Linked DNA regions of Saccharomyces cerevisiae S288C. The gene in region 2 interacts genetically with the main gene of each other region. Each region holds a gene or a part of one and is shown on either strand. Other genes may lie near its edges. The genes, in order: YVC1, GYL1, YPL039W and PAU24.

Region 1 (6,571 bases), on a different chromosome or scaffold from region 2:
TCTAAGCTATAAAAAAATATCCCTTTTATCACACAAAAAAATGAACACATCAGTCACTTCCATAAAGTTGGTACTGTTGGGTGAGGCAGCAGTTGGTAAATCGTCAATAGTCCTAAGGTTTGTATCTAATGATTTTGCCGAAAATAAGGAGCCCACCATTGGTGCAGCATTCCTCACTCAAAGAGTTACTATAAATGAACATACTGTTAAGTTTGAAATATGGGACACTGCTGGGCAAGAGAGATTTGCATCTTTAGCACCTATGTACTATAGAAACGCACAAGCTGCTCTTGTAGTATACGACGTTACAAAACCACAATCCTTTATTAAAGCGCGCCACTGGGTTAAGGAATTACATGAACAGGCATCAAAGGATATCATCATTGCGTTAGTTGGTAACAAGATCGATATGCTGCAAGAAGGTGGGGAAAGAAAAGTCGCAAGGGAAGAAGGTGAAAAGCTAGCGGAAGAAAAGGGCTTGTTGTTCTTTGAAACAAGTGCAAAGACAGGAGAGAATGTTAACGATGTATTTTTGGGAATCGGTGAAAAGATACCACTGAAGACGGCTGAAGAGCAAAATAGTGCAAGTAACGAACGTGAGTCGAACAATCAAAGAGTGGATTTGAACGCTGCTAATGATGGGACCAGCGCAAACAGTGCTTGCAGTTGTTAGAGAGGGGAAAATAAATATATATAAAAAAAAAGTCTGGGCAAATTGAGATAAATAGATCTTCAAAACGGGAAAGATGAAAGTCATAATTTATCGTACCTAGAAAGGAGAGGGAGTTTTCATTTTTTACCGTAATCGTTGTTTTTCTTTTCTTCTTATAATTTGTAAATTTTTTAACTGCATTAGATCATTATATTATCTTTCAAAACGCCAGTCGTTTTTATTAGACCTTTATATACGTTTCAAAGTGGTTTGTACACGTTAGTTTAGTTAAACTTTTGTTTTCATGTAGACCAAAATATAAACTTATTTTATGCCGAAAATCGGGAGATGGATTAGTTAATATTGTAAATAATGATAAATTAAAGGAACATTAAATTTACAAAGTTGCAATGAGGAGCAATATATATATATATATATGGATTTCTGAGAAATTAATTAAGCAGTATTTGAACACATGTCGTTTACTCTTTCTTATCCTTTATGTCTAATTTTTCGAGTAGATCGGTAATTACAGCTGTCAAGTTTTCCACTTTCTTAGTGAGCTCTTTGACTTCATCTTTATCTTCACCAGCATCATCTTCAGTGTCATCGTTATCATACTGTTCGAAGGAGGGACTGCATTTTTTAACGTTTTTATACCACTTCTTAGGGACTTTAAAATGGACATCTTCCTGCTCTGCTGTTCTTTGCAGTTTTAGCGAACGGGAATTCTTTAACTGGGTGGCTCTCATGCCAGAATTTCGGTTATCAGAAAACAAACCGTCATCATCATCCAAGTAGCCATCTGTCAAATCCCATGGAGTATCATATTCATTGGCATCATCGTTTAACCTTTTCATCCTGTTATATTTTATCCTTCTAGCCTCCCGAGTTTCTTTAACAGAAATAAGCAACAAAAATGGGCTGTACACTATTGTCATTACAGTATAGCTCAAATCTTTAGCACGCTTCGGTGGAAGAATACGAAAGATAGGTGTCATGAACACTTCAATTAAGTTCAATGGAGAAACATAGACATCTTCATCAGGTGCTCTAATGTATCTCAACGTCTTTTGTGACATCAAAGCCATGTACTCGTCATCTGCATTGTCAATAACTTTTTGGTACGCAGTCGAATACAAAGCAATTAATATATTCAAAAGGATAACCGAAACAATAAAATAGTAACCATAATACAGTATTGCCGCATATGGGGGAGCGAATTCTTCGAAAACATCAAAACTACCAAGACCCAAAACGGTGATTGTTAAATTACCCAGGATGGGTCCGGTGATATCTCTCTTACCATCTGCGGAATCCAAACCTAAGAAACCTTGAGTGAATCCTATCATTATTAAGAATAGAAGGAAGAAAAATACAATGGATTCTTTCATCATATGTTTTAGGATAACCAACATAATCCCAATAAACCTTTGTGATTCAAGGTATAGTAGGAGTCTCGACCACACAAATGGTGCTGCACAGGATAAGACTCTATATGATATTTTATCCCAATCTTCTGAAGAGTATTTTGCATTAAGGGGCGTTACGCTCATTGCACGGAACCCCATAGCAAACGTGATTATCAAATATGTGGTATCATTAAATAAATTCCAAAACGATAGGTGCGCATAACCAATATAATAAAGCTTAGTGAGCTCATCCAAGATGAAACCAGTATTGAAAACATAAAATATGCTTTCTAACAAATCGAAAGATTGGACTCTCTCAGAGTCCTTACCATTAACCACCAAGGTATAAAGCCCTAGAAACAAAAATGAGAAGATCATCTGCAAATAATTTTGGTATACAGGCGCCTTTAATCTTACGGGGTTGAAATGAGAGATCAATGACACTTCCGCCAGTGAATCGTCCTTGATAAAAGTTGTGGGATCCAAGCCATTTTGGACTATCCATCCTCTCCATATCCATTTTAAACAACGCTGAAATCCACTCGATCCTATCACTGTAGTACAGTGCATATCTGTGGCAAGTTCCAAGGCATTCAACGGTTCTTGATCTTCATCGTTCTCGTTGATTACGTACCGACGCAGCAGTAACTGCATGAAAAGAAACTGCAGGTCTCTTGTCTCCTCCCTTTCAATTAACAATTTACATAACTGTTGTGAGGCTAAATTTCTGGTTTCGTAAAGTTTGGCATTGTGCACTTCCATAGTGGCCAATATGGAATACCACTCACAAACTTTAAGAAGTGAAAAAATAATGACAGATTGATATTTTCTTTTGTTGGCCTTGTCTTTAGGGTTCCCGCCACATGCTTCATAAGCCAGCTTCACAACTTTTGGAGATAAAATCTCAGAATGGTCACAAACAATATCATTGGGATCGTAAACAATAGGTACGACCTTATCAATTAAGTATTTCAAATTTAACGTAACCCTGAGAATCTGTCTCGGAGTGGGGGCCTCAAATCCAAGAGATCCATTGTTTTCCGGCATGCACTGTTCGTTAGAAATTGGCAAGTGCAAGTCGCCGTTGGCTGATACCATAATGCTCCTGTTCTAGTAATATTATATTTTATAACTGAATTCTATTGCCTTACCAAGCCACTGATTAATGACAATTGCATTGAATAGGCTCTAGCTGATCCTCGAAGGATACTGACTAAATTTACCACATATTTTCAGCTCTTATGAGATAACTCCGACATAGCAACAGTGTAGGAGAAAAATTAAAAAATTAACGACCCCAGTGAGGGTTGAACTCACGATCTTGCGATTAACAGTCGCACGCCTTAACCAACTTGGCCATGGAGTCTAACTTTGTTGTTTTAGAGAACGAATGAAGAACTTATTATGACGATAAAAATATGTCAAGAGAGGCCCAAGAATGTATAAATCATTGTAAAACCAAGCAAGTAACAAAAATGGTCATGTGACAAGAGGTGGTGACATAAAAATAACCAAAGGACTAATAACTAGAGAAACAATAAAATGAGAAACTAAAAAAAGAAATAAAGCATTGAAAATCTCATTAGACTAGTTGGCTCATTTCCATGGCAAAATGTACAATTGTATCTCAGTAACGTTATACTCGCTCCCTTTTTAGGCCAATTTTATCCATTATTCTCATTCTAAAATAGCGGACATAACGAGAAAACGATTTACGTTAGAAGTGATAACAACTTTGGCGACCGGAATGCTGCATGAAAAATTATAACAAAAGGCCCCTCAAAAAGCTAAGGGACAGGGATGTTGCTGCAATTGGAATAGTATAATCGGCCGTCAAAATTATCAACTAATAGCATTGGCTACTCCAATTTGGACTTACTGGCTGGTAATTGACTTGTATAGCATTGTCTTAGCTTATTATTTTTTTTTTGCTGAAGAATAAGTAGGATAATTGAAGAAGAATAGCTAAGATAAAAAAAGATAGCTAGTGCATTCTGAAAACTTCAATTGCGTGGTACATACAATATGGCCAAAGAAGATACTGGGGTAACAGCACCAAAGAAGCCCGAAACAGCCCAAGTAGCTAACATAAATGGGATAGATAAGTTAGAACCTCCAAAGACGAAAGAGGAAACCGAATCCAGTAAAAGCGTGTCATCTGAGAAGGCGGCACATGCTAGTGATGAAAGCTTCAAGAGAAGTATCCATGAAGCTTCTTATGTCGGCTGGAAACAGATTGGTGGCTGGGAAGACAAAGACGAATTAACTTTAGATGATGAATTGATGGATATGACTAGAGAAACCTTCTTAGATAACATCATACCGGACAGCCTTTACGGTGACTGGTATCATTCGGTAGCCATTTTCTTTATCGGAGGCGTGGCATCATTTGCACTTGGTCATTATAAGTTTTCAATGGGGTCGGCCTTTTTTGTCATCGTTATCACTTCATTGTTGTATAGAACCTCTGCTAAAAAATACAGAGGTTCCATAAGAGAGTTAGTCCAGAAAGAGTTCACGGTGCAGAAAGTGGAAAACGACTATGAATCCCTAGAATGGTTGAATGCCTTTTTGGATAAGTACTGGCCCATTTTAGAACCTTCCGTTAGTCAATTAATCGTTCAGCAAGCTAATGAACAAATGGCTACTAATGAGGCGATTCCCAAATTTATTACTCAACTATGGATCGATGAGTTGACACTTGGTGTTAAACCCCCCAGAGTTGATTTGGTGAAGACTTTCCAAAACACTGCATCCGATGTTGTTGTGATGGACTGGGGTATTTCTTTTACTCCTCACGATTTATGCGACATGAGTGCTAAGCAAGTCAGAAATTACGTTAATGAATTAGCGGTTGTTAAGGCCAAAATTTTTGGTATCACCATCCCTGTTTCTGTGTCAGACATTGCTTTCAAGGCTCATGCTAGAGTGAAATTCAAATTGATGACTCCCTTCCCTCATGTCGAAACTGTTAATATCCAGCTACTGAAGGTTCCTGATTTTGATTTTGTTGCTACCTTATTCGGCCGTTCCATCTTCAATTGGGAAATTTTAGCTATCCCAGGCCTTATGACACTAATACAAAAGATGGCCAAGAAATATATGGGTCCAATCTTGTTACCTCCATTTTCTTTACAATTGAACATTCCACAACTCTTATCTGGTTCCAACTTGTCCATTGGTATATTAGAAATAACTGTCAAAAATGCAAAGGGGCTAAAACGTACCTCTTCGATATTGAACGAATCAATCGACCCTTACTTATCTTTCGAATTTAACGATATATCTATTGCCAAGACAAGAACCGTAAGAGACACATTGAACCCCGTTTGGGACGAAACTCTGTACGTCTTGTTAAACTCATTCACTGACCCCTTGACCATTAGTGTTTATGATAAGCGTGCAAAATTGAAGGATAAAGTCCTAGGCAGAATTCAGTACAACTTGAATACTTTACATGATAAAACCACGCAAAGAAACTTGAAAGCTCAGTTTTTAAGAAACTCTAAACCGGTTGGGGAATTGACTTTTGATTTAAGATTCTTCCCAACTTTAGAAGAGAAAAAGTTGCCGGATGGATCTGTGGAGGAACTACCGGATTTGAATACTGGTATTGCTAAAGTTGTGGTCGAAGAAGGTTCTCGTTTTGCTGAAGAAGAACAGAAGGTTACTGCCTACGTTGAAGTTTACTTGAATGCTAAACTAGTGTTAACCACTGGTAAGGCAACTGACACTGGTACATTGAAGTGGAATTCAGACTACGAAGCAGTTATTGCAGATCGTCGTAAAACAAGATATAAGTTTGTCGTCAAGGATGGCAAAGGAGAAGAAATTGGATCTACCATTCAAACCCTGAATGATTTAATAGATAGAAGCCAAGTGAACAAAAATTTGATTCCATTAAAAAACCAAAAGGGTGACATAAAGATTACCACATATTGGAGACCTGTTAGACTGGAGATTGGTTCCAACTCTGTAGCTTACACGCCACCAATTGGCGCCATCAGAGTATTCATTGAGAAGGCAAACGATTTGAGAAATTTGGAAAAGTTTGGTACCATTGATCCATACTGTAAAGTTTTGGTTAATGGTTTATCGAAGGGTAGAACTGATTTCAAGAGCCAAACTTTGAATCCTGTCTGGAATCAAGTTATTTATGTTGCAGTTACTTCACCAAACCAAAGAATTACGCTTCAATGTATGGATGTCGAAACAGTCAACAAAGATCGTTCACTTGGTGAATTCAATGTTAACGTTCAAGATTTATTTAAGAAGGATGAGAATGATAAATATGAGGAAACTATTGATGAAAAAGCTAAAGTTGGTCGTCTAGTGATGCCTAAGAAAAAACCTAAGGGCACTATAACATACTATACCTCCTTTTATCCCGCTTTACCTGTTTTAACGTTAGAGGAAATCCAAGATTTAGATAAAGTTAACAAAAAGAAAAAAGCATTGGAACTGCGTAAGTCAGCAATTGATGAGAAAAAAATTTCTAAAGAAGACA
Region 2 (6,447 bases):
AAGAACCCAATCTCTTCTTGGCGACCTTTCTAGCTCTCTTTTCACCAGAGTTTCTTATTAGATCAATCAATCTTCTTTCGTATGGAGACAAACCAGCGATTTCTCTGACCAAAGATCTTACGAACTTGGTTCTGTTGGAAGCAGCACCTTTCTTGTAAGAGATTTTTGGAGCTGGGGTCATGCTAGTGACCTTCTTACCTTTGTTTAAACCAATAGCAATTCCTAAATATAAGGACACAGGTTGTCTTCAGTTAGTAACATGTGAAATAGGCATACATATACACGTGTATATGTGTCGGCGGGAAGTGACGTATAATGTACGGCTTTGTATAGCATCTTTTTGTGATTGTTTTCCATGGCAATTCTTACAATGGTGCAACTACTAAAATGTTCCATTTGAAGGCGTTTTCGCAATACTATTCTTTTTGTAAAATGGACCTCATCTTCAAACACAATAGTTTTTTAGATAGGAGTGAAGAGATAAGCCTGTGTATGCATATTAAATGGTATTTTTCCTCTGGCTATTTCCATTGGTCATTAATCACTCAAAATTATATAATATTCTTGTTTTTGTTTCCTTTTAAGTTTTCAATGCACTCATGTTCTTCTCGTATTTGGGGTAAACCCCTTTATAAGTTCGAAAATCGTCATAACCCGTTCAGTTCCTTGTTTATGTCTCACATACCTGTCTTAACGGTCATTTCTTATTGTGTTTGCTGTCTTTCTTGTTTCTTTGATACTTGTAAATCAGTACTATACTGTTCAACATCCTGAAATCTCTGATTTCAAATAAATTTCATAGGAGCGGAGGCTTCCATTCAGTTGGAATTTAACTTCAAAAAAAAACTGTGAAATGTACGGGTGTAAAACAGTCTAAAAAATGAATTGCCAATTAATGTAGCAAGCATATACGCATCAATAATGTTCAGAATGTGTGCATACCTACATATGTACAAACAGATATGCTTTTTTATATACAGGGGAAAACCAACGATATTTTCGGAATGGCAATTATCTTCTTTATTTCTTCCTTTTATACGGTGATGGTGGATAAGTCGAATTTATGATCCTCTAATCTAGCTAGGATATCCTTGACTGGAACGTCGGCAAATAACTCGACAAATTTTTTGTAGTTCAGGTCCTTCCCTACTGACCTATATTCCAATTTCTCTAAAGGATATAAAAATGACATCAATCTTCTTCTTCCAACTGATATTTTTCTTGGTGAGCCGTTTACTATTTCATCATAGTAAATTTTGGCCTTTTTACCACCAGCCATTTCTATGATAGGTGCATCCTTATGTGGGGGATTCTCTATTTCATCTTTTCTTTTTAAAACCCTATAACGAAGCTTCCATCCGGTCGGCCCTAATTCTTTTATTCTTGCAGATTTTTCCTTTGTTAAATAGTTGTCAATCCCTCCTTCTTTACTGATTGTTTTTAAAACTTTAGCGGTCATTTTGATACTGATTTTTCTGTTCAGAGTCTCACTCCAGAGACCTTTTTTGACAACATTTGGCAACCACTTCTTCCTCGTTTTGGCTTTACTTTCAGAAATATTGTTACCAAACTGAACGAAAGATCCACCATATAGACCTTTGTTACTCTGTTTGAAGATATTAGATTCCCCATACTTGTAATCTGGAAATTTCTTTCTTTCTTTTGGCATATGTAAAGGTTTAGCATCACCAACTTGGTAGTTCGGTTGTTTGGCAATCTTCCTTGTTTCAATCAGTCTCCATTGCCTGAAGTTTTTTACGGAAGAGGTAAAGCCTCTCGTTAATTGGAATGGTCTGAAAATTTTTTGCATATTCTTCTGTGAGCTTTTTCTTCCTTAAACTGATTTTTCTATACCCCTGGGCACTAACTTCTAATAGCTCTAGCTGATCAGCTGTTTTTGGTTTCTCAAATGAATTTCACAAAGCGTGCCCGGATGCGAGAATACGAGATTATTTAATTAAATATAATTGCAGAAAGAGAAGAAGGAAACGTACTAAGCTCAATTTGTCCACAGTATAATCAACAAAATTGCACATTTAATTGTTTTTACTAAAAGTTTAGGAAACCGTTGTCACGATGTAATTAAAATTCTTGAATTCTTGATATGAAGGCTCTTTTCATGATGTGCCACATGAGTACAGCCGATATTTGAGAAACGTAGAATAAAATAAAACGTTAAACGCCAAGATATTTACTGTTGCAAAGTTTAGAATGGTATGGAAAGGGTTACTGTTAACTGCTAACTCGAGTATATATTGTCACGATTGTGGTTCATTATTTCTGCTAGAAGTAATGCTTACTAACAATTTCTCGGTCTTATTTATATCCTAAACACTCTCCTTTACTACTTCATCGTCACTGAATTCTTAGTCCATGAACAGTTTTAAAGTACTCTATTTTCTTTATCCGGCTTCCCTAACCTCATATATTATCTTGCAACTTTATACAATTGAAGCTCTCAAATGTCAACAAAATATGAAATAATCAAAAATCAAGAAATAAATTTATCATTATATTTAGTCATGTATCATTCAAGGGGAGCAGTAGCTGATATACACAGTTTAACTATTTAAAAACCTTTTTAAATCCTGACCAGCCGGCTCCCAAAGGATTATTTTTAGAATTAGAATATTCGAATAACGTACCATTTTTGTTTGCAGTTTTTATTTCTTCAATAAGCCTTTCTAGTTCTGAAATCCTATCCTGCAATTTCAAATTTTCGTCCATTACTTGGGTATTCTTTTTCATTGTCTCTTCCAAATCTTTCTTTAAATCATTGGGCACATATACACCTAAAACTTGCTTCTTTTTTTCTGAATCCAACTTTTTCTTCAAATCTAAAATTTGAAGTTTGTAACCATTATTTTCATTTAATACAGACTCGATATTAAGCCGATTTTTCACTAACTCGTTCGCAATTGTCACATGCTCTCTATTTAAAGATGTGTAGTCGTTTTCTAATTTACGAACATGCTTTTGTAAATGTAAATTTTTTTCCGTGATAGACTTATATTGCACTTCTTTTTCATTGTCCAATCTGTGAATTTCCTCATATTCAGAAGAATATTTCTTCATAGTCTTTGGGGTTATTGCTACTTTCATCATAGAGTCTTGTAGTAATTTATCCATACATTCATTTGAGAGAAGAGTGTCACCGCGTGTACCATCATTCTGCTTAATATAAGCATCTAACAGACCTGATTTCAATAGCTCCAGCATATCATCAAAACCCATTTTTAACAGATGGTCTCGGGAATTAGATAAAAGTGTGGCTAAAATTCTCATAATAGAGTCAATACCTTCTAAAAATACCATATCACCGATACGTGGTTGAATTTCAGTGGGAAGTTTCTTTTGAAACAGTGTCGTGAAGAAACCGGGCAAAAACATGGAAGAACGGACGCCTTTTTCAACCATGTGGTTGTGAATTTCAGGATAAAATTCTTCTACAAGTCTATCAAATTTATAGCAAAGAATATCGATCTCAGAAGCACTTGGTAAGAACAAGAGTCTTAAACCGTAAACTTTCATTAGGCGTACAAGTAGACCAAATGCATTTGCCTCCTCCTCGCAAACGTCAAGAATCATATTGATAATATAAGCAATGTCGGTAGAAAACTCACACTCTGGGTCAAAAAGTAAATAAGCCTTTAACACATTACTTATGCGTTTTACGTATTCAGAGGGAACTTCGTCCATCATTTTTAGCTGATTTTCAAATTCCTGGACGTCAAAAGGTGCCATTTCCGTTAGATACGTTTCATATATAGGGTCAAAGGATTTCGATTTTGCATAACTTACTAACTGCCAGACTACCAATCGATAAGCGGCTGGTATACCTCGAGATAGTTGGAAATGTAAGGTTTCGATATCGTTTATTAAGATATTTTGATAGTCGCCGATAACCTTTAACCAAAATGAACTAACCTCTTCAGGAATTTCATTGTTGTTAATTTTTTTTGAATCTTCTTTTAAATTTAGTATATTTTTATCCAAATCACATTTGATAGAGTTATCTTCACTTTTATAAAAGAGCATATTTCTCTTAAATGTACTCGCTAGGAAATGTTTTTGAGCAGCCAAGTCTAAAGGATCTTCTATACGGCGTGGTGGTAAGGTTGGAGGGGTCGATGAAGAAGAATTACCTACAGCACTCGTTGGTGATTTGGAGGGAGTCGCATTACCATGGGGCGCCTTCAAATGAAGAGTTTCCGCATTAACTACCTGCCTCGGAGGTAACTGTGGTCGGTCAAGGGGGGCTTGATCATTTTTATTTCCTGCTAGCACTGGAGGCAATGAGGATTTAAGAGCAGATGCAGATTCTTCTATGCAGTCAGCCCTCGGTGGTAATGGGGGTGAGGTTATTCTTTTTAGAGCCTCTTCAACTTTGGATTCTTCGGTTTCTAATTGCTGGCTGAGGTCATCGGATGGTAGTATGGTTTTACTCTGGGATTCTTCTCTCAATTTTGACTGCATCAGAGCCTCATGGGGATTTGAAAAGGCGCCGATTGATTCGCCGTCTTTTGCACTTTCATTTGAGCCAAAGTTACTGGATGCATTTGTGGTTGCCATTTCTACTTTCTCATCCGAATATGCTTTTTCATCGCCTTCTGGTACTGATATTTCATCCCTGAGAGCGATGCGATCAGAGTCTTTCTCTGGCTGGGTTTGATGGGGAGTTCGTGGAACTTCAATGCGTTCTTCATGTATATCTTCATTCGAATTCATCTGTTAGTGTGTTTATATTTGTTTTCTTGCCGCTATAATCATAAGAGTATATACATGCAGTACTAGTGCAATTGTTGTATATTCTCGTTAAGTGCTTTTCTTTGCCTATGGATAAAGTACATATATGGCTTATTTTCTGCCGAATTTTCATGAAGTTTTTATGCGAAGAGAATGCAAATATAACGATAAAAATAGAATGTATTAACTATAGAGACAATGAAAACAAGCACAAATATATATATATATATATATATATATATATGAACACACAACGTGCGTCCATGTGCAAGAACAAGTAAAGTAACCTTCTTGGTAATAGCGCGATGAAACAACGTCTTTGCTAGACCAATTCATAAGTATCATAGGATGCATCTGATAAAATAGGTGAAAAAGCGCTCCTAGAGGGAAACGAGGGCTCCTTAACAAAAGACCATACGCTTCCTGAATTGTCAACATTAACCAGAGCATTCAAATTTGTACCTTCTAGACTGATATCGGGAGACGTATCTGCGTAAATAACACCCGTAGCAATATTCAGACCTGCAATTAGTTTTTCTGTTTCCACCACAGTTGAGTTTGGAAAATGTATTCGAATCTTATTTCGATGAAAAGTTATCGGCAATGATCCATAATTCTGCAAGATCATGTCAACACTACTGTATATTGATTTTAATTCGTATTTGTAATTTCTAATCATTTCATCCAAATCCGCTAACAAAGAAGGATCTAAAAATGACAAAGGTGCGGAGAATGTCCCATTAACGTTAAATTCTGAAATGGTAAATTCAATATAGGAACCTGGTTTTTCCATGTAATATGCGCTTGTTTCATCAACGACTTCATTCTGGGTCTTCATTATCTTAAATAGTTCTAAATTACGAATGAAATTGATATCCTTTTGAGATAACTTCTTAAGGGCAACTGGTTGGACGTGATCCTGTTTAGAGGTAACATTAGACGCATTCTGATAAGCTTTGCAGGAATTAGAGTGGGAGCACTGATTTAATCCGCCTAGTGAGTTGAAAAAACACCTCAAAGATATAGTCATGTTATTCACGGCTTCTTGGGTAAATTTGATACTGGAAGTCGAATAAGCTCTCTGCCCTAATAATCTCTTTGATGTAGTCATATTCCAGTTGGTAAAAAGGCCCCTTGGGGCTCCTTTGGGCACTCTGGGAAAAGAAGCAAATTTACTGACATTGGGAACAGGTCTGAAATGGTCAAACCTTGCGATTCCTCTCCTCGTGAGAGGAGATACCGTTAAACCACTTGCCCTCCTAAAAGCTGTAGAAGCCTCAAATAGGCTCTTCCACCAAGTGACAAAAATATTGCGATTATATTGGTGGGAAAAATTCCCATGGCTCAAACTGATCAGCGTTCGGTCCAGAGACTTCGTGATCTGCCTGAGGTGGACCCGTGACATTCGCAGCCACATGCTCCAGTTATTACCACCGACAGCCATATTTCGTGTTGGTGCTCTTCTATTGTGAAAGAACCACTTTAGATCATGAAATGCGAAATGTGAAGGAAGAGAAGCTTCTCTCCACATGTCCTTTATATTTATATAGTTCAGCCGTGCGTTTCGAAGTGGATTGCCCGGCTTCGGCTGCCAGGATTTGTTTATGCTTTTGCAATGCACATATAACAAGAAACTCGAGCCTGATCTAAAAGCTGATATACGGATCAATAGAGGGCACTTAGCAGGCTGGGTGATCATTG
Region 3 (5,497 bases), on a different chromosome or scaffold from region 2:
TTGGTGAAAATGGTAACGTGACTATGTGTTGTTTTGGTGACACCTTCTTCTAGACTTAACCTCTTGAATTCCTCCTGGAACTGTTTTAGAATTTTTAGTTCAAAGTTTTCAAAGGAGGTGACGATTTCCGTATTTGAGTCCAAAAACGGCCATTTTCCACGCATCGGATTAATGTCTATATGTTCTTGTCCTTGTAACCATCCTTCTGGTATATACTTCCATACTTCTTGGACCATAACGGGTAATATTGGTGCAAGAATTGCCCTATATGCATTTAGTATATGGACAAGCGTTGTTTGGACCTGCCTTCTTGCCAATGACGATATTTGGTTGGAATATAAAATATCCTTTGAGATATCAAAATAAAACGCCGATAGCTCGTTATTTAAATGATATTGTAGAGTAATGAGAACCTTGGAAAAGTTGTACTTTTGGTAGTGTTCTCTCGTCGTTTCCAGCAGTTCGTTTATCTTATACAAGGTATATTGATCAACACGGCGTAATTGTTCAATCGGCAAAAGGTTGAAATCTTGGGACTTCTGTAAATTACTCAATAAATAGCGAAAAGTTAGTCTAACCTTTTTTAGAGCTTCTCCTACATGTTTCATCACAGTCGGGCCAGCAACTATATCAGTTGTGAAATTCGATTGTGCTATCAGATACCTCAAGCCATCAACACCCAAAGCTGGTAAGCCTAAGTTTTCATCGCCTCGAATTATTGCTTCGGGAGAAATTGTATTTCCCACAGATTTTGACATTTTCAGACCATTCTCATCTAGGGTAAAACCATGAGTAATCACTTCTTCATATGGTGCAACAGGGACATTACTTGATGCTACTTTTGTTAGCAGTGAACTTTGAAACCATCCTCTATGTTGATCAGATCCTTCTAGACAAACTTGGTACAGGGGGGATGGGAGTTTTGACAACTTTAAGCTTTTTTCATAAAAGTCTTTGATCACACTCCATGACGACCCACTATCAAACCACACATCCATAGTATCTTGAGAACGACAGTATTCATGCGCTACGTCGTGATATTTTTCTGGCAACCATTCTTTCATGTCATTATCTTTATCGTTAAACCATGCATTAATTCCTTTTTGTTTGATTTTTTCTATGGCATGTGCCAAAATTTCTGAATTCATCAAAACAGAATCCGGTTCGCTCTTCTTGTAAAAGCTTAATATAGGGATACCCCATGAGCGTTGCCTAGATATGCACCATTCATTTCTGCTTTTCATAAAGGATGAAAGTCTTGAATAGCCTCTTTTAGGACAAAACTTGACGCGGCTGATGCTTTCCAGAGCCAAGTTTTTTACATCGTGTAAATCTGCAAACCACTGTGGAGTAGCTCTTATTATGACAGGTTTCTTGGATCTCCAGTCGTACGGATAAGAATGCGTGTATTCGTGAGATTTGTAAAGTAAATTAAGGTCGCTTAACTTACATAGAATGATTTTCGCGGTTTCGGCATCCAATACTTGCCTACCTTTTGTTAAGTCTCCTTCATCTCTCACGATGGATCTGACGGACTGAGGAAGTTCATTTAATTGGTAGCGGCCCTGGTGATCCACGGGAGAATAAATTTCAAGACCATTTTGAATACCAATGAGATAGTCATCCTGTCCATGCCCTGGTGCTGTATGAACCAATCCAGTCCCTGTACCGCTGGTAACGTGTGCACCATGTAATAAGGGCCTGCCAACCTTATCGTCTACTAAGAGGTTTTGATAATATAGCCCATTTAGATGAGTTCCTTGAAACTGTTTGATAGTCTCAAATGAGTTAGTTGTTAGGCCCAATTTATCAATGGAGCCGGTCTCTACAAGGATAAGTTCACTATTTAAGCGTAATAGGGAGTAGGAAAAATCCTGATTGAAACAGATTGCTCGATTAGAGAGAAGAGTCCATGGAGTACTGGTCCAAATCAAACAGTATATAGGCAAGTTATTCGTTATTCCTAGTTTTTTGCACAGATCCATCTGGGATTTCTTTTCAAGAGGAAATTTAACATAAGCAGCGATGGATTTATGGTTTTCATTATATTCTAATTCGCCCTCTGCTAACGCTGTTCTAGTTTCTGTACCCCAGTAAACCGGTTTGTTCTGTCTCTTAATCAGTCCTCTTTCGTACATTTCTTTAAAAATATTTAGCTGATTAATTTCATAGTCTTTATCCATTGTTAGGTATGGTGTTTCCCAGTCCGTTAAGATGGCAAAATGTTGGAAAGTTTCCCTTTGCCTCTTGATTGCCTTTTGTGCATGTTTTAAAGCCATTGACCTGATTTTTAAAGGCGATATTGACTCGATCTGTTGCGCGCTTAAATCTTTCAAAGCTTTAATCTCGATGGGTAGTCCATGACAATCCCAGCCAGGCTTATAAAAAATGTACTTCCCCTGTGAAAGTTGATATCTGTTTATGATATCTTTCAGAATTTTATTTAGAGCATGACCGAGATGGAGCTCGCCGTTGGCATAGGGCGGTCCATCATGTAAGATGAACAACTTTTCTTTAATGAACTCTAATTTTTCATCAGTCGTATTAAGCTTTGAAAATTCTTCGAAGAAATCACGTAGCTGCTCCTTGTAAACTAACTGCGAAGATTTTGGTATTAATTCCCTCAATGTAATCTCTAAGTTTGATCTATTAGGGAATTTGGTCTTGGGCAAGTTTAATGTTTTTTGGTAGGCATGTTTGGCGAGATATCGCTTGCTAATAATGCTAAAGATATGTTGAGGCACAAGCCTGGAGCGCTTCATAAGTAGCTAAAGATCGTTCTTAGTATACTGTGTTCCATAACTTCTAGCCTTGGTCCTTTATATTTGCTGTTTTTCTGCGTTTCTTAACTCGCTTGCGGAAAAAGAATCGACATTTTCAGAACAGGATTTTATTGTTTTTAAAGTACATTATATGGGGCGACACATCATCGCCATCTATGTTAAATATTTAAAGAATACGGGGTAGAATTATTCACGCTGGGGGATGCTGAAAGAGGAGTATAATTTGAGCGGTGCTGATAACATGGCATCTGCTGAGTTGTCATTTAAAAAGCAAAAAGTGGTATTGAAAAAGTTCATGATAGCGCAAGTGACTAAGGGGATTATGCAGCGGTATGCGAGCCTATTAGTTACCATGCCTAGTGATGATGACAATGCAATTATTGGCACAAATCATTTGAAAACAACCAAATTTTTAGAAATAATCCTACACAGAGCCAAATCATCGCATTTACAGTTCAAAAAGGTCTGTTGCATTGTCATCAAGTTTCTAGATTGCTGCTCGAAGGAAACTAACTACATGAAGTTTTTAAAGTTCAGCTTACACAAACTATTTGTAGCTGCTTTCATCTTAAGTGTGCCAAATGTTGTAGGCGATGACCGCGACAGGATTACCACGAGGGATGAAACCTATCATCTCTATTCCCAGATAACAGGCTTGCCACTGGAAGAAGTGATAAATTGTTGTTCTATTGTGAGGCCTGTACTTATTCGGCGGAGTAGACAACAACGCAGGCAAATGTTATCTCGACGTGAACAACATTCGTACTTCCTCAGAAGTTCTTTTATGAACTCCAATTCATCAGCATCACCTTTTTTCTCTACCAATAGGTCAGCTGATGATCTACATGTACATACAAGGGCATACTCGCTTCATAGCCATTCCGATGGGGAAGGCCAAGATAGGCGGTCGGAACATGAAGAAACGCATAGCATGGGGGCTGATGCCGATACATATCGACAAACTACGTTTATCCCAGACACACCAAATGGTTTGCATTCTAGATCATTAATTGAGTGTGGGATCGAACCCACCCAAGTAAGTGACTCTGGTGAATGGTCGGGTCAAAGTAACGGATATGTTTTGGTGACAGAATTACAGGAGTTTAACAAAATGGGTAAAAAGTTAGTACAAGAAGCTTTTAGGATAGTTTAATAAAGTATGGTTTGTCGTTTTGTTCATCATTCAAGGGTCATTTTTATTTCCATTTATGATTTCTTGAGTACAAAAGGCAAAAAAAACATGTATAATTATACACAAGAAAAAAAAACAAAACAAAAGAACACTTTCACACAAGCAAGTATATATTATGAGAATTTTTTCGAGTCTTACAGAACCATATCTTGCCTCTAAATTTTAGTCTAAAAATTTTGCTAGCCCATCAATTTTTTTTTTGTTCTAATGCAAAATATAACATGGGTAAGAAAAAGAAAAAGCCGTTCCTCAGTACGTAAAGAGATTTGATCATTAACAAGTTGGGCTCAATATACACAGTCGATAGTCTATATGTGCATATGAAACTGGCGCAAGACATGAATGTAGATGAAATATTTCTCAAACAAGCGGCAGAAGCTATAGCGGTAATCTCATCAAGTCCCACTCATACGGACCCCATAATACGAGAGCTACTCCACAGAATTCGACAATCCAGCCCATTGAGCGCAGTTATACCAGCACCAGAAAATGTTTTAAAGGCTGGGGAGCCGGAAAATATGGCTAGAGGTCTTATAAGGATTCCAGAAACACAAACAAAAAGAACAGGAGGTAACAACCATAGCAAGGAAGGCGCACAGCTCTACAGCTGTGCGAAATGTCAGTTGAAATTCAGCAGAAGTTCTGATCTGAGAAGACATGAAAAGGTACACTCACTCGTGCTGCCGCATATTTGCTCAAACTGTGGCAAAGGGTTTGCCAGGAAGGATGCTCTAAAAAGACATTCTAACACACTGACCTGTCAAAGAAACAGAAAGAAACTAAGTGAAGGTTCAGACGTTGATGTAGATGAGCTCATCAAGGATGCGATAAAGAATGGTACCGGCCTGTTGTAAGGCTAGAGGAAAACGTATTTGTCTCCATCAGCACACCTACACATACATATATAGATAGATATATACTTTAGCCATTGAGATAAGTAGAATAAAAAAACGTTGTAATATTCCGATACAGTTAGTGACATGTTCTCTACTTTTGCCAATTTTTTGCGCACAAAGTGGTGACGTACAAGTTCATCATTTCACGTGTGCAGCATAGTGTGGTATATTGTTTTTTTATATTTTATTTTTTATTTTTTTTTTTTTGCAGAAAACAGTGTTTGTATTATATGCTTTAGATATGCTAAAAAAAATGAAAAAAAATGGAACAAAATATGTGTTTTTTTATTTAACGTTAAAATTAAAGATTAAGTTATTTATTCGACGTCAGCATCAAAAGTTTGACCTTCAACTAACTCTGGAATAGCTTCATCCTTCTTTTCAGCATCAGCTGGAGCCTTGGCTTCGTGCTTTTCCATTTGGGCAGCCAATTGAGACAAGGCTTGGATGGCTTCAGGGCCCAATTGAGAGATAATACCTGGGAACAAATCTTGCAAGTTCTTTTCCTGTGGTAGACCGTAGAATACAGAAGTGTTGTGTTGAGCAGCAACTTGGACACCGACCTTGTTGAAGTGCATGACCTTACCGTCGTCCTTGAAAAAGTTGGCTTCGGCGACGTTGTCAAT
Region 4 (4,633 bases), on a different chromosome or scaffold from region 2:
GCTGCATATATGTGTCACGGGGAATGTGCCTTCTATTACGCACCTTGTATCTCGGGTGGATTCTTTTCATGTTGGTACAAGGTTTCCAAAATATAAGGGTTTTGATTATGAGCATGGAACACAAGATGCAGTTCTTGTCGACTATTATAAATGAGCAAGAAAGTGGTGCGAATGGATGGGACGAAATTGCAAGGAAAATGAATAGGTACTTGTTTGAGAAAAAAGCCTGGAAGAATGAAGAGTTTTTCTTCGACGGGATTGACTGTGAATGGTTTTTTAACCACTTCTTCTACCGCGTTCTATCTGCGAAGAAATCTATGTGGCCTTTACCATTGAATGTGGAACTATGGCCATACATTAAAGAAGCGCAATTATCCCGCAGTGAGGTGCTCTTAGTGTAGAGATAAATACAACTTTTTCAATTTATATATTTTGTAGTTTGTCAGCTGCGAATTACCAAAACGAGACTACTTTTTACCATTACAACCATTTTCTTTTTCCCTATTTCTCACTGGTTGAGAGAACTCGATGTGCCACCATCCTACCATATGCGCAAAACTTATTGTCTTTCTCCTCCCAGTGATGCTATATTCCATGCATATTCTGAACGATGGTTTGTGTTTTTATCAAGCAAGGTTAATCACATGGCGTGGCTTGCTCCACACATCAGTAGAAAACGCATACCGCAGCGGAATCCTTAAATAATAAGTGATTTTACTGTTCATCAACTACAATCGGACTCTTTCACAATTACCCTTCTTGTTTTCCACATTTATTGTTAATCAAGGAATATACAAAAGCTCATGAAAGCCTTTATTGAACACTAAATAGAAACCCTCCTGCCACGAAAAACTTCAAGATCGATAACTTTAATCTTAAAAATTTGACACATTTGAAGGCGACGACTCCGGGCCGATCGATGCCCTGAAAAAAAAAAAAAAAAAAATAAAGGCGACCTCGTTTAAGGTGAATATGGAAGAAAATGGTTATATAATTGCTTGAACATTTGTCGTTATATATTAACAATAGCATCAACCGGTTTACTAGCAAGTGAGTCTAAAATATGATTTTTTAACATAGATATTGATGACCCATGTCGTTGAAGTGGACACACATCGAAGAATACCACAAAAGGAAGAGAGGATTCTTGTCCTTGCTCCGCCAAGTTGTTCATAAATATCACGATTGACCAGTAGTAACAATATTAATATACACTTACATATAATCAACTATTTATACTATCAAAAAAAAAAAAAGCTTTTTTTTTTTTTTCCGTTATTTCTTAAGGTTTATGGAATTTCATTCGTAAAGGCATCAGTCTCTAGTTTGCGATAGTGTAGATACCGTCCTTGGATAGAGCACTAGAGATGGCTGGCTTTAATCTGCTGGAGTACCATGGGACACCGGTGATCATTCTGGTCACTTGGTCTGGGGCAATACCGGTCAACATGGTGGTGAAGTCACCGTAGTTGAAAACGGCTTCAGCGATTTCAACTGGGTAGGTTTCAGTTGGATGAGCGACTTGGAAAGAGTAGTATTGGGCCAAGTGAGCTCTGATATCAGAGACGTAGACACCCAATTCAACCAAGTTGACTCTTTCGTCAGATTGAGCTAGAGTGGTGGTTGCGGAAGCAGTAGCAGCGATGGCGGCAACACCAGCAGCGATTGAAGTTAGTTTGACCATTGTATTTGTTTTGTTTTTTAGTGCTGATGTAAGCTTAACAAGAAATAGTGAAATGAAAGCGCATACCTCAAAGATGGATAGCTACAGCAGCTCTATTTATATGAATGTCTTGCCAACTTCCCTGGCACAAACGAGTTATCATCTGGCACCCATCTCTCACCTAAAATGCCTCAGTGTACAATTTTCATCCCACATTCATTATTCATATTATTACGGTGCTTCTGTACTTGAACGATGCGTCTTTCATAGGTCCCGTATACGAGGCGCACGCTTCATAGTGCCTATACCTTTTATTGCATTTCCAAGGCACAAGAATGTTTTCTCACAGTGTACATACTTCCGAAGAATCCCTTTAGGGTGCCTTCAGAGATGCAGCTGCAGCTTTTGGCCAAGAAAAAGCCAAAACCAAATTTGCTTTGAACCCTCGTTAAGAGGCCACCTAATCTTTGTGCTCTAAACGGTTGCTACGGGAAAATTGTCGATTCTGTTTTTCTTAAAATAGAAAGTGAAAGACTTATCGAATACCGGAGTCGTATATTGTAGGTGCCTACAGTCTTATACACTGCCAGCAAAAATGTTGACAAGAATAAATGAGCATTCGAGGTGCTACGAAGCCCTAGTTCTGAAACAGCGGAACTTCCACTGGATCAAGCTGGCCATACCGGAAACTATACCGGAAATTGATAAATCAACATCTTAATAAGTATTATATAATTTTTTTTGTAATACTAATAATCGGAGAACAGCACCAGCGCTTCGTATGTTAGGCAACGGTTGCCGCCTAGGTCTACGTTTCTCTATTCATTATATGGTAAGTGAAGGAGACAAAAAGTGGCGGCTTACATACAGAACTTCTATCCTATGGATGTACCTGCAGTCTTTCTGTTTGGATGAAATTGATAGAGGGCTTAGTGTTACTAATACAGAAAGCCTTTAAGCCTTTTTCTCCCTTTTATTCACCGTTTCAATATGTCTATCATTCTGGTCATGTGTTTTTCTTCCAGGAATTTACAATTATTACAGCGATAAGTAATCATACGTATCCAGATTATAGGCCCGTTGCTGAAGAATAACTACACTTCTCTGATATATAGTTATAGCTCAATAACTAATGGCATAGGGGACACAGATTTTCGTAGTCAAATTTCTCAAAGGATAAGAGCGTCATTCCACCTCTTCTCTTCACTTCGTTGGCTTTTATATATTGATTGTGGGGTGTTAATGTTGTAGAGTTACCGAAGTAGCAAGATTCTTATGCGCTTATTTTCTTTTGCTTAATCACACTGTCTAAAGCATATGGATTATGGACAGATGATTGGTTTAGTTCATCTGAAGGCTAGACAATAAAAGGCGGGTTCGGAAGGGGGTAGGCATGCTCAGACTTGACGTAAACGCATAAGCCGGCAATGTTGAATCGATTTTGTAACTCGCCTGAGTGTTACATGAGATTACATATAGGATCGAACCATCACGAAATCAATTACGCTGTGTTATTGAATCATAAAATCACAGAGCTTCCCGAGAAAACGCTAAATTATGTGTCAAGTACTGTGGGCATCTCTTAACGCTATCTTATATTCATTTCACTTTTTATATCTAGTCCTTTTCTTTTCTTTATTAAATAAAACTACCACCTTGTATGATTCTTAGCAAGACATTCCAGCATTAATACCAGCACAGGTTTCTTCTCCCTTGTTTTCATCCGAAGAGAAAGGATAGTGCTTCTTATGCTTCATTAATAATTTGGAATTCACATTTATATACACGCTAAATATCATAATGAACGAGGATCATGTAGAAAAACACATTTACCCATAATGGTGAAACAAATTATCAACAGTGCTTTTACGTTATCATCATTTACATATAAAAAATTTATCTAACAAAAATCATGTGAAAAATCATCTGTTATTTCGTTAAAGTACGCGCTAAAAAAAAGTCGGCACTAATTTTATTTGACGAGGTAGATTCTACCTTCCCATGGTTTCAAAACTCTGGAGGAAACGTCAGTATCATCATAATTTCCAAGAATAAAAGATAAAGAAGCACCTTCTCTTGGGAGGCTGAATTCAATTTCTTCGCCACTGAAATTCAAAGCAGCAAACAGCGTCTTGTCTTCGTACTCTTTAGTGAAGCTAAAGATCTGGTCACTGTCTAAATCAATGAATTGGAAATCGTAACCATAAATCATAAGTTCCTTATATTTCTTTCTGGCTTGCAAGGCCCTTTTCCAAAAATTGAGAACTGAGTCATCATCTCTGGATTCCTGCTCAACATTGATTCCTTGCTCAAAAGATTCATTCAAGAAAAACCAAGGTTTAACATCTGGGCCAGTAAATCCAGCATTGGGCTTATCTTTCGTCCATGGCATGGGAGTTCTCGAATGATCTCTAGAAAGTAGGGCGATTCCTTTAAAAAAATCCTTCATTTCCTTCGAGTTTTTACCAAAACTTTTTTTGATAATCTCGTAGTTGTTTTTCACATCAACGTCCTCATACTTTTCAATAGGCCATTCCTTGAAATTGATCTGGCCTATCTCCTGACCTTGATAGACATACAACGTACCTGTCAATGAACATTCTAGCAATGTTAACAGCTTACCAGATATTTTACGGTACTTTGGCGAATCGTCAGCAAATCTCGTAATTGACCGGGCTTGATCGTGATTCTCGATGTAGGTGGTAGCCCAACTATCAGTACCGTTAATGAACAAAAAGTTCGATGCAATGGCTTCTTTCCATTGTTTCAAGGTGAAGGGCACTATGTTATAACGGAAAAATGGCGAGGTACCAAGTTCAACGTGCGTGAAGGAGAAAACTTCGCTGACTTCGTATCTAGCTGCACTGGTGTATAAAGCATTATCACTTCCATGGGCAACTTCACCGACTGTCATTATTTCTCTACCATCTTTCACCCTGTTTTTCATAAATCTGTGTAGTTCTTGATGAT

What was found.
Region 1: mutations in GYL1 (region 2) and YVC1 together harm fitness less than expected from each alone (positive genetic interaction), as found in Saccharomyces cerevisiae (one large-scale study listed by BioGRID).
Region 3: mutations in GYL1 (region 2) and YPL039W together harm fitness less than expected from each alone (positive genetic interaction), as found in Saccharomyces cerevisiae (one large-scale study listed by BioGRID).
Region 4: mutations in GYL1 (region 2) and PAU24 together harm fitness more than expected from each alone (negative genetic interaction), as found in Saccharomyces cerevisiae (one large-scale study listed by BioGRID).

What each region holds. Positions count from the first base shown.
Region 1 is NC_001147.6:484,298-490,868, reverse strand, and holds YVC1 (Yvc1p), read right to left. Parts: upstream 3,163-6,571; coding exon 1,135-3,162; downstream 1-1,134. Other genes in the region: Rab family GTPase VPS21, read left to right, coding at 41-673; TCB1 (tricalbin), read left to right, coding at 4,090-6,571. UniProt on the Saccharomyces cerevisiae protein: Required for release of calcium ions from the vacuole in response to hyperosmotic shock.
Region 2 is NC_001145.3:645,399-651,845, reverse strand, and holds GYL1 (Gyl1p), read right to left. Parts: upstream 4,729-6,447; coding exon 2,566-4,728; downstream 1-2,565. Other genes in the region: 60S ribosomal protein eL36 RPL36A, read right to left, coding at 1-222, 686-701; mitochondrial 54S ribosomal protein bL28m MRPL24, read right to left, coding at 1,034-1,810; SPG5 (Spg5p), read right to left, coding at 5,069-6,190. UniProt on the Saccharomyces cerevisiae protein: Probable GTPase-activating protein which stimulates the GTP hydrolysis rate by GYP5 of YPT1 and SEC4. Involved in ER to Golgi trafficking and polarized exocytosis.
Region 3 is NC_001148.4:476,240-481,736, forward strand, and holds YPL039W (uncharacterized protein), read left to right. Parts: upstream 1-2,985; coding exon 2,986-3,936; downstream 3,937-5,497. Other genes in the region: isoleucine--tRNA ligase ISM1, read right to left, coding at 1-2,762; YPL038W-A (uncharacterized protein), read left to right, coding at 3,943-4,134; MET31 (Met31p), read left to right, coding at 4,296-4,829; EGD1 (Egd1p), read right to left, coding at 5,189-5,497.
Region 4 is NC_001134.8:806,108-810,740, reverse strand, and holds PAU24 (seripauperin PAU24), read right to left. Parts: upstream 1,685-4,633; coding exon 1,322-1,684; downstream 1-1,321. Other genes in the region: COS2 (Cos2p), read left to right, coding at 1-401; alpha-glucosidase MAL32, read right to left, coding at 3,636-4,633. UniProt on the Saccharomyces cerevisiae protein: Component of the cell wall.